3 linked regions of the Lepisosteus oculatus genome follow. Each later gene encodes a partner of the first gene's protein in a complex. Links are inferred from orthologs where the notes say so. Each region holds a gene or a part of one and is shown in the gene's direction. Other genes may lie near its edges.

Evidence for each region.
Region 2: the proteins of nrip1a (region 1) and roraa are in contact, whole or in part, in a crystal structure (PDB 4S15), measured with the Homo sapiens proteins. The link is inferred for Lepisosteus oculatus from reciprocal best matches to the Homo sapiens genes NRIP1 and RORA. Residues at the interface, in NP_001426204.1 of Homo sapiens: Thr499, Leu500, Leu501, Gln502, Leu504, Leu505, His507; in NP_599023.1 of Homo sapiens: Gln332, Val335, Lys339, Phe344, Met345, Gln349, Gln352, Ile353, Leu356, Pro505, Leu506, Glu509, Leu510.
Region 3: the proteins of nrip1a (region 1) and esrrga are in contact, whole or in part, in a crystal structure (PDB 2GPP), measured with the Homo sapiens proteins. The link is inferred for Lepisosteus oculatus from reciprocal best matches to the Homo sapiens genes NRIP1 and ESRRG. Residues at the interface, in NP_001426204.1 of Homo sapiens: Ser378, Leu379, Leu380, Leu381, Leu383, Leu384, Lys385, Ser386, Gln387; in NP_001429.2 of Homo sapiens: Val277, Ile280, Lys284, Phe289, Leu294, Gln297, Met298, Leu301, Gln302, Lys448, Leu449, Glu452, Met453.

The regions. Positions count from the first base shown.
Region 1 is NC_090700.1:318,367-322,120, reverse strand, and holds the start of nrip1a (nuclear receptor-interacting protein 1), read left to right. Parts: upstream 1-1,292; 5' UTR 1,293-1,607; intron 1,608-1,616; exon of another isoform or gene 1,617-1,761; intron 1,762-3,754. UniProt on the Homo sapiens protein: Modulates transcriptional activation by steroid receptors such as NR3C1, NR3C2 and ESR1. Also modulates transcriptional repression by nuclear hormone receptors.
Region 2 is NC_090700.1:57,932,433-57,936,186, forward strand, and holds the start of roraa (nuclear receptor ROR-alpha A), read left to right. Parts: upstream 1-1,135; 5' UTR 1,136-1,289; coding exon 1,290-1,443; intron 1,444-3,754. UniProt on the Homo sapiens protein: Nuclear receptor that binds DNA as a monomer to ROR response elements (RORE) containing a single core motif half-site 5'-AGGTCA-3' preceded by a short A-T-rich sequence.
Region 3 is NC_090697.1:62,012,255-62,016,008, reverse strand, and holds the start of esrrga (estrogen-related receptor gamma a), read left to right. Parts: upstream 1-932; 5' UTR 933-1,091; coding exon 1,092-1,147; exon of another isoform or gene 1,148-1,151; intron 1,152-3,754. UniProt on the Homo sapiens protein: Orphan receptor that acts as a transcription activator in the absence of bound ligand. Binds specifically to an estrogen response element and activates reporter genes controlled by estrogen response elements.

The DNA.
Region 1 (3,754 bases):
GTTAAGGTCATATTCTCCAAGCACATAACAATTATTTGCATTTTGTATTTTTACGTGTACATTATATTGCAATACGATATAACTGTATAGTGTATATACACTATACATTGAAAACATCACTCCCCTCCTTAGACAGAAAATGCTGATTTCAGCTCACCAAGAGACAAAAAATCCCTGATCGTGACAGTCACGAACGTTTGGATGAGTTAACAGAGATAAAAATTAAAAAAAGTATAAATATAATAGGCTGATTACAACAAAGGCGTTTAACGCTTTTATTACATGATTAGGATCAGCTCAAGGATTTACCATCTCAATATAAAAACACATTTTTGCCATGATTTCAACTAACCTTACTTTTATAGGAGTCATACCTTGAGTTCTAATTCTTGACATGGGGTCGCAGTGCCTTACCGTTTAGTTGCTATTGCTACGACACGTTTGTTCATACATTTCGGGGGGTAAAACCGCGGGTTTCGGAACAGGGTCGTGAGATCAGGCCCTGCACGCAGAAACTCAAAGTTGCTCTATTGGCGAAATGAGAGCGCCGCAGGGGTGGGAGCTCTGGGGGTCTCAGCGGGGAGCAGGAAATGTGTTGCCCTGCGAGAAAAGTGCAGGTATCTGGGGACGGGTTGGGTACATGAGGATTCAACGCTTCTCATTCACCAGAGAACTAGGAAAAACCACCAGCAGCTAACAAGCTCCCAGCATGAGTCACTTAAGGGACTGGAGGAGCCTTGGCCTAAACCAGCTCTAACACGAGGTGTTATACCATCAGCAGTGCTGTTCAAAGGGCTGCCAGTTTTCTTCATCATCTACCTTCCAGATCAGTGAGGGCTTTTTTCATTTCTATTTAAGTCAGCCTGTATTTGGGGGAGTAGTAAAACAAACGTCTGATTTAACACAACGACAAAACCATATTTATTTTATTATCCGCAAACAAACATCTATATTGTTAAACGAAACTGTATGATATTTTAACGTATGTACTTTTCTTAAATGGTTCATGTCATGGTAACGTCATTTTTGGAGTATTAAAAGGCACAAAGAATTGCAACCACTGACACTTTGCCACGTACCCTACACTAAACAAATACTCGACGATCCTAGTGGAAAGTTATTTGCTTCGAACTGATAATTTCTCTACAGAAATCTGTTGTTAGCTTCTCCTTGTGTCCTTTCTTGGGAAATTTCGATCAATCCGAAGCAACAGAAGCTGTGAAGTTCAGTGGCTGAGGAGCAGTGGCGTCGCTGCGCCTTTAAGCGCTGTCGGCGCTGGGGGAGGAGAGAGCCTGTGTTGCAGACTGCTGGGGGATTCCTAGTATAAACACTTCAGCCAGACTCGACTGCGGAGTGCGGAGCTCGATTGCTACAAATTGACCTAGAGGCGTTTTATTTTTCCCAGAGAATTGTTATTATATAGGTTTTCGTAGGAAAACGAATGCTTATATGTGGCCTGTATCCTTTGCTTTTTTATTTTTTTTTCGTTCCTTGTATATAGTCACGGATATCAAGTGAGCCGAAATAAAGCAGGTTGCAAAAGGATTTCCCACGTTTCCAGAGACGCGACTCATGTCTTTGCTGGAGTCCTGTCCATAACCAGGCAGGTACGTGTATATCTGGCGGAACTGCAAGGCGCTAGCACCGGAGATAGGGCCGTGCTGCTGATCTGTGACAGTATGAATTTATCTACATTAACACGCATTTGTGTAAACATTGGAATATTTATTTTTTCGAAAAGCTAGGTTCTAGCACAGTTGGGTACGTATATCGACATTAAAGTGCTGCCTAAAATGGAGCTTTAGTGATCGGTGAGCGGTGCCTCACGTCACTGGTGTAGAAACGTAGTTTCCATTTTGTTTTATTTTATCAGCTGAATGCAACATTAGTGCCTCTGAAGGTCCGTCGCATCTCCGCTGTGGTCGCGGGTTGAATTGCGGAGTCGTGTTCATCGTTGTGGCTCGGTGTGCGGGTGGAGTTAGTTTACTAAATGCTCATTTTCAACAGAATAAAATCTCGCATTTTCTGCCCTTTTCTTTTTGATGTCTTTAATTTTTGCATGTTTTATGCTTTAATGTTGAAATACTTAATAGCTTCCCAATGGAACATTGACGAGGCGTCTAATAACATCGGGTTCAACGTGGCCTTTAAAGACAAACACTTTTTAGCAAGCTGTTTATCGTAGCTTCATGAAATGGGAGACTATGGTAGCGCACGCATAGCAGGACTGCAATTCAATAGTTAACTTGGTGCTGTAAGAGGTGGATCATATGGTTTCGATCCAGAATAGAGAAGTTCCTTCTGTAATTATACACTGGCACACGTGGCCATCAGACGTAACGTTATGTTTTGCAGCAGAAAAACAAAATTTAGTTGATAAGATTGGAATTCAGATAGTAATGTTAAACATGTACTACTTTGCGAACAGTGGTTCTGTCTCTGCCTGTAAAAGTACCGTTTTAGGTTAGCTCTGTAGGCGCTGTTGAAATTTTAGGAAGTCTGTAGTAACCCATTGGAAAATCTACAGGGTTACTAATTATCAGAAATTTAACTTGGTGTCATAAACTGAAACGGACAGCAGCCCACGTGCACAACCACAAACTAGAGAAAACACCATAATAGTTTTCTTAATTGTAATGAAAATATACTCAAAATGTCAATTCTAATTTTTGCTTTTTTTTTGCTTAATTGTTTACGGAAATCTTAACATCTTTTCGTTTACTAAGGACCTTTAAAGAGTTCTTACAGGGCTGCGATTATACTTTTCATCCACAAAAGACTTATTTTTTTAAACATCTTCAGTATGATTAGGGCCTAATACGGAATTATTTTTCAGACCGTTTGCGACCATTTCATAGCCTGTGTGTGCTCTTCTGGACTGATAGACCTTCATCATCACTGGGGAAGCTGTTTGATCCCTGAGATCTTCACAGTTCAAGATGTGTTTATTGGGAGCGCCGTTAGTTTGGTTTTCTTTACATCACAACAGCAGACATTATCATTAATTTGTGACTGGGTCATTTCCAGTTTGTTAAAATACAGCGTGTGAGCTTGCTAGTTGTGTTTTCACAGAATTTAGAATTTAGATAGTTGCTTGTATATCAAGTCCCTTTCAGGAGGGGGTGCTCTTTAGTTAATGGGGAGCTTCTTGGTTATTGCGATACCAACAAGGCATCTTTCAAAGTTGTGGGGATACACATACTTCGTGCAGAATGACTGAGACTTGGCAACTAGGAACTCGCACACGATATAGTAAGTGCAATGGATACTACTGGATTGAAGTTGGATTTTTCTGCTGAATACCTTTCGTTAGAAGCAGGGGCTTCAGAACCATGTCCTATTGCGCTCATTGGTATCCGATTGTACAGGATTTCTTAATTCACTTGTATAGATTTGACATGAAAAATACTTTTACTGTGAGCTGCTCAGAATGTAGTGTTGATTATTTAATGCATTTTGTTGTAGGACCTATTTATCGTGTTGTAAATGAACACATGCTATTCACATTTCTTACTATTTTGTGAAGTCTTTGATAATAGAAAATTAAAAAAATTAAAAACTCTGGTCAAGTTTGGTTTAAAAGTTATGTTTTGTCCATGGTATACTTAAAATTGTATGAACAATGAAGTGGTCATGTTTTTGGAATAGGGTAGGTTTTTCATCAGATTTGAGATTGTTCTTTATATAAAACATTTTACATAGGTGTTTTGGGGGATCACATGCATACATTTGTGGCTTTCAGAATAAGATAATT
Region 2 (3,754 bases), about 58 Mb from region 1:
CTTTAAAAATACTGAAAGCGTTAGAATTAATTAAAAGATCATATTCTGCAAAAGCAAACAATGAATTGTGATAAAGAAAAACAATAAGTTGTTGTTTTTTATACATCACATACTCTTGCCTGCGATGTTACAGAAATACCCACTTAACCACATTTTGTTTAAATAATATTGGATCGTATTTCCTGTGCGCTCTTCAGTGGACATAAGCTAAACAGCTGTCGCTCGAGATTTTGAATTATCCGTCACCTAGTGTGCACATCTCCACAGTTTACAGTTTAAATCTAGAGTGAAATATCTAGTCTTCATAAGAGTTCGAAAATAGGAAGTACTCTAATTAACCCAGCGGACCCAGTACAAGTTATGCGTTTTGTGCGTGTTTTCTACCCTGTTCTTACTAGGCACTTTATCTTACATAGCCTACGGATTTTTGTAATTATTTAGGCCTAATAAATTGTAAATATTTTTTGTGTTTTGCAACAAGAAAGAAGGCATCGGTGCTCCGTAGGTTTTAAGATGATGTACAGTATGGGCATTCATTTAGAAAGAGTGCTTAATTGAATTTGAGCTCCATTCATTGCGTTAAATACTGTATGTTATCTTTCTGATTAGCATGGTTTACAAAACATACAGGTCGGTTGAACATCTAAGTACTGCGGCAGTTCTTTTTTTTCTCCAGGACTGTTAATTGTAATCTTTAACGTTTGTGCATTCAATGAATTCAAATTCTGCCGTTGGTTTGAAGACACTGTTAATTACAATAAAATATCACAGCGACCAGAAATTAAAACAAAGAAACTCCTACTGCAGGTAACAAAAACAACAAGGGCAAATATTATTCTGTGAAGTTTGCTCCATCACGTAATAATACATTCTTTTTGTTGTTATTATTTCTGTTCGTCATTTCATTCCGTGGAAATATATTCCTGGAACGTCATTTATAACTTGGGAGCGGTTTTTTTTTTTGGAAGCCTTGATTTATGCATTTCTGTAATACAGTACCTCTGGGCAGAGCAAGGCACATGCTAAAAAGCCTTCCCCATCTATTCTCTCTGCTATTGACAGATTTTCCCTGGCCAGCTCCGTGGGTAATTTCACAGACAGTGCTCTTTCTCTCTAGCGCTGCCAGTGGACAGTCGCACACACACACCCACCTCTACCGAGACCCGCACATTCACATTTCATAGTTCTACTGTAAAATAGATAGAGGGAGTCTCAGAGCTCGCCATTCATAGACCATCCACGGCGAAATCACCATAATTAAAAATAATAATCCTAAAAAAATATTAAACATGGAGTCCGCTCCAGATCCAGCCAGCGACCCGGGCAACAGCTCCTCGGAGCCGGCTACCCCGGTAAGGGACACCCCGGTAAACCTGGAGACTCTCCGAAAAGCTGACCATCAAGCCCCTGTTCGGAGGCAGAGCTGCTCCAGTACCAACAGAGGTAAGCTGCTAATGTTTATAGACATCTGTGTAATATTAGAGGCACTGGAAAATAAATATCAGAGGCAACTTTGAAAAGGCAGACTGCTCCCGGTGTGTGTATGTGTGTGTGTGTGTTTTTAAGGGATCACGAAACCTTTTTTTTAAACGATTATTGTGTATATGTGAGGTGTCGCTGAAAACACCCGTGAAGCCGTTTTTCAGCAAATAAAAGTTTTTACAGCTGTAAATCTGTTTTTAATTCTGCAACTTAGCAAGTGCTACTGTATCAGCGCGTTCGGCAGCCCTCTGACGGCACCAGCCATAACTGGTGTTGAAGTAAGGAGAGCCGAGCGTGTAAAGAAGACACAAAACAGACATTTTTTCCCCAGGAATTACGGAAAATTAAATAAATTAGCCCGTGACCGGGAGGAAGCACAGGGCACTGTAAAGTGATAGTCTCTTTACTGGATATTGTTATTTGGGAGGGCCGCCGACATTTGTCAAAAATATGAAATCCAAGGTAGTCTGTGCGAACTTTGGAAAAGTATGACAGGTGTTTCACGTCTCTTGAAAGTAACTTCTGTGTGAATTGATGTTTAAAGGCAGGCGATTTTGTTTTAACTGCGCTGTTCAATTACTAAGCAGGCGCATATTTCAAGAACCACAAAATATTTGTTACACCGGCGCAAATTTTGTCAAAGTGCTCACACGTTGCATTTGCAAGACAGGATCCGGGGAGTACGCACATGACAGCAGCGTAACAGCGGGCAGATGGCTTTTATTACAATAATTTCCTCGGGTGTAGGAGTCTGATTTTTTTTATTAATGTCTGTTTCTTGCATTTTGAGCTGAAATATGGCTGGCTGTTTTACAGTACAGACAGTACGTACTGTAGCCACACCCACCAGACAGCCTCCATTCACGTAATGCAAGTGAAGTTGGGGGGAAAAAAATGATTATATACTAAAGAAACTTGTTACAATAAAGTAGCGAGCGATGCCAGTGTTCACCCGATCCGCTGTGCATTTAAAATTTCATTCTGTGCATTAACACGGGGCGGTCGTCTTCCATCGCATTTCCTCCAGCGAAACGTACAGTATATTTAGAGTCTGATACGTTGAATGTGGAATGTAAGCTGGTTATGTAACAGGTTTAGCCATAAACAGGGGAGGGAGAGAGCAGGGAAAATCACTGCAATTCTTGTACGGTTTGCATAGACGGCCGCTGAAAGTCATATCCTCAGATACAAACAAAAATGTAACTTTCTGCAATGTGCAAATCCGGTTGCATTTTAGGGGATAGAAGCGTGCAAGACTTGTGTTGATCCGTTGCTATAGAAAGAAAACATTGTTTCACTTGGTAACTTGGTAGTTTGGAGAAATCCCTGGGTTATGTAATACCGGGCAAAGGCAGGTACAAAGGCATTTCGCTGTTTGAAAATTTTAAGGTTGATCTCACGGCGTTTGTATTGAATTCTGGCTCTGACACTCCTGACCCGGTGACCCATATTTTCACCCTTTCTGTATAGGATTTAAGCGCAATGAAAAAAAAAGGCTAGGGATATGAACGCCTTCACATTGTTATGTAACTCGTTATTTAGTGGGAAAAACAGCAGTAGGAGAGACCGGGGCAGACGGTTAACTTTTGCCGAGGTTATGAGTTTGGTAAAACATTGACGCATCCATTCAAACGTGGCCTTCCTCCTTACAACAAAGCAGGATAAAATATCCTCTTTTATTGTTTTTTAAATTTCTGTATTGAAAGTGCTCTTTATTAGAATGAGCTCGTTCCCAATCTTTGGTCAATCCAGAATTGTTTGTATTTTGATTAAAATATCTCAAAAGTTCAAGAAAAAACAACATCAAAAACATCTGTAAGTGAATACCAACAAAAAGCATTATTTTTTAGGTATTTTTAATTTTCAACAGTTTTAATATAAAAATTGTACTAGTTCTGTCATTTGAAGGTGGGTTATACAGTATTTACAGGGATGCCGGGAGAGGGGTGTATTTAAAAGAACTGCATATTCTTTCCCGAAAAGTAAAGGGCATTTTTGATGTTTTTGGTGGCATCAAGATTAATGAAAAATATCCATTACTGAGTTTCGAGCATGTGGTGCACCAAGTCAAGTAGAAAAAATGCTACCTCAAATATTTCTCTGTAAAAATTTCCTACCATGGGAGAAATTAAATGTGCAAAGTTAAACTTACCTAAAAGCTGTACAAAAACAACAAACGTGACTTAAACTAAAGAATTAGAATCGACTTTGGAATGCAAATGAAGAACCATTAAATTTTAAATTACCACTAACTAAAATGTATAGTGAATAT
Region 3 (3,754 bases), on another chromosome or scaffold:
TTGTTTTGTTTTAGGAAACAGAGCAAATATGAACCCCTGATAACAGTTACTTGGTTGTGTTAGTCAGAGGTTCTTTGGTTTTAATTCTAATACCAAAAGACAAACTGGCTTGAGTTTGACTTTGTTGTACAGCTTGGGTAAGTTAATTAGCTTCTTCGCTTAAACCTAGAAGCCAGCATTCATTGGCATTAAATTAGTTTTACCAATTTACTGTCTTCCATGTTGTGAATGCCTTAATTAAACTTTACAGTGGACGGTTACATTGCTTTAATTAAGTCGTTTTTTTCCCTTTTTTTACTGCTAACTGGTCCTATTTTGTATTTCAATCAAAAGTCAGTCTAATCTGGAAATTTAACTGAGGCCTTAAAACCCATAGTTTTTTTTTCAACAGATTATGTGGCCACAAAGCTCTGATACAAAAGTTGTTTTTTAGTGCTCATAGCCCCCTACACCACAACTGGTAATTAGCAAGAGTTTATATTTTTTTCTTTCCTTATCAATGTTGATATGTTTGTATTTATTCATGTATATTAAACACGTGCACACTCAGACATACACAAATGATGTTCATCATGCATCATATTTCTCATTCACAATGGTTTGTGTTTGTCAAAGTCTGAAAGGTTTAATCTCTAAGCTTGACACCTTGAACTGATAAGCATTGTCTTAAAAAAGAGAATGTGCTGGTTCTTTAAAGCCCCCCTTTCTTTCTCTCACCCTGTTCCATCTCTCTGTCTTGTCTCTCTCTCTCAGGCACACTCTCTCTCTTTGTCTCTCTCCACCCACTCCACCTGCTCAGTTCCCCTCAGTATGTGCAGGCAGTGCCCTGTCCAGTTCCAATTGGCTAGGAAGCCACCAATCTGGCGTCTGGATGGGCCAGAGGGACTACATATGCAAAGCTTTACTTCATATTAATGAGCTCCAATCGTGGCTTTAAGTCCTTGATTAGAAGAGTGCGAGAGCTTTTGGTCCCAACTGGCTGTGCCTATAGGCTTGTCACCAGGAGAACATTTCTGTTAATTGCACTGCTCTGTCAGGAAAAACTTTGATTTATAGAGGGGGTTTGCTCAAATTATGGTTGCAGAGCGCACATGGATTCGGTAGAACTTTGCCTGCCAGAGTGTTTTTCCCTGCACTCCGAAGAAGAGTAGGTACATTTTGATTTTTATTCTTCTCTTTGGAAATTATGCCTAATGTTTTACCTATAGACAGTTTTGTTTGTCTTAAATTCTTGCTGTTGCATGTGTACTTTTGTTTTCTGTGTTGTGTTGTGAGCTATATCTGTCTGTCTTGTGTTGTTGACTGACAATGTGCTTCCCTGTAGTGTGTACTTACTGCTCAATACATAGCACAGCTACCTGTCAGGCAAAGTACTGAAACAGTAGCATTGCCTTGTACCTCTGGAAGAAAAAGTGAGCACATTCTTTTTACCATTTAAACCTCACAGATTTCTATAAAAGGCAAATATTTTTTCAACTTAATTTATACTCTGTGTTTTATCTGTTATTAATTTTTATTGATACCATGTCCTTGAGATTTTTTAAAAGAGAGAGCACTTAGAAAAAAAGGTATACTCCAATACCATAAAAAGCTTGAATTTCACAGACAAGCTGCTTACAGTGTGGCCTGGTTCAGCTATTAACAGTGCCACATATTTACATTATTGAGAGCTATGGGGTTATGGTGTATGTTGGTGGGGGGCAGGGGGGGGGGGGGGGGGCAGGTGCTGAATCGAGCCTGCATAGTTCATATAGAGAAACTAGGTTTTCCAAAGTAAATGTATTTTGTTTTTGTCAGATTGATACAATTTCAATTTTAATTACTTGTTTGATGCTTATTTTGTGTTTAATGGAAAAAAATCATAAACTTTGCATTTACTTGTATACATTTTTTATCATAGGTGTCAGCCACTTGTAATTGTTTTCATTCAACAGCTGTATTTGCAGCATTAAGTGAATTGAAATAATAATCGCGTTTGTGCTCAAAGAATTGACAAATAAACAACAAACAGCTAATATGGATAAGTCTGACTGACACTGCTGGGTGTGCTTGCAATTGCCTAGATGTTTGCAAACTGTCATGGGTTCATATAAACCTGATATCTTAAAAACACACACTGGAAACATAACATTGGTCTCTCTTTAAGAAAAGAAACACCAAGACTATTAACCCCTGCCCTTAGTTACATTAAAACACCGATAAGACCATAAAAGTATTGTTCCACCCTTAGTCCATTTAGAGATTAGAAAGAAATAAAGTGTGCCGGAACTGCTGTGTTACAGGTATGCTGCCATAAAGTCCTACCAGCTTTATCCCAGTCTTTTAGACAGTTAGATTAAGGCAATTAACATTAGATATTGAGGTGCACTTGAAGCACTTTCAGAACTGTAAAATAAACACTAGCTTTAATGTGTAACTTTCAAAAATGTGATTGTATTCATTACTACATTATTCTAGCTTCTCAGTAGAATAATTGTCCTCTGTCTGACTTCTCATTCTTTAGGTCTTTAGGAATTAAAATGCTACATCTATGGATACACTTAAGATAACACCAGCATTGAAAAATAAATATGCATTTATAGAAAATGCATTGATTAATCTAATAAGTTCTGTTTTCCCATTTTCTTTTTTATTATTAAGCTCTTTTTCTGATTTTACCTTCTTATGGCTAATTTACATGTTTGGTCTTCATAAGCTTCTTGATGTATATGCTTTTATATTGAATTTGTACCTATACCTTTTTTATGATCTAAGATTTAATGTCTTCTCACTACTTCTTATTTTTGAAGTAAATCAATGTATAATAATATAGTAATGTATAATAATTAGTGTTAAGTTCAATAATATATGGATATATTGGGATACATTGATATATGATATATACATTGAATAATAATGTAATTATTGCACTTCTTTCCTGAGATTTGTTTTTTTATGAAACTTTTATTGTTCACCACTTTATTCAGATTAGCACAAACATAAGAATTAACGTAGAATGGGGTTCATATGTGGAAAGCCATCCTGTATTTATGTACAAGTGTAAATTCATTTTTTAAGGTTGAGGTTTTCCATTTCAATAATTATATAAATAATTATGCAGACTTAATTTCTGTAATTTAGAACAAATGTGAGATAACATTAAAATGCACATTTTTGCTAAAATTTTACATTTTGTCACCAAGTTCAAATGATTTCAACAATGATTGCTACATTTACTGTAAAATGTCGATTTATTTTAATATTAATTCTTAGTTTGCAATATTTATGATAAGATTATAATTACTGTTTTTGTTTAAATGCATGGAATATATAGAAACATTAAATCTAAATATAGCCTTTACAAAATTGAATTGCTGTACAAAAAATATATATAACGTATGGTGGAAATAGCAGCAGTGTATTTTAGGGTTGTTATATTACTTTAAAATCATGTAAGTAACATGATAAATCCTTATTAATTGTTTTTTTTTCATATTTTGTAAATTTTCTACAATATTATAAAATTTACCTACAACGTTTATTTCAAACAAAAATATCATTTGAAAGCATAAACATGTGGAGTCTGTCTGTCCAATCCAGAATATACTATTTAATTTAAAAATGCAGTGGAAAGAAAAAAAATAGCTAAATAAAGGTAGAACAAACCTATTCCTCATTGTTATGTTATAATCAATTATATAATCCAAATAGATAGCATCTATGTTTTGTTAGCGTATTGAAACACTTGGTGCTGTTTGAAAAAGATTCATCATTT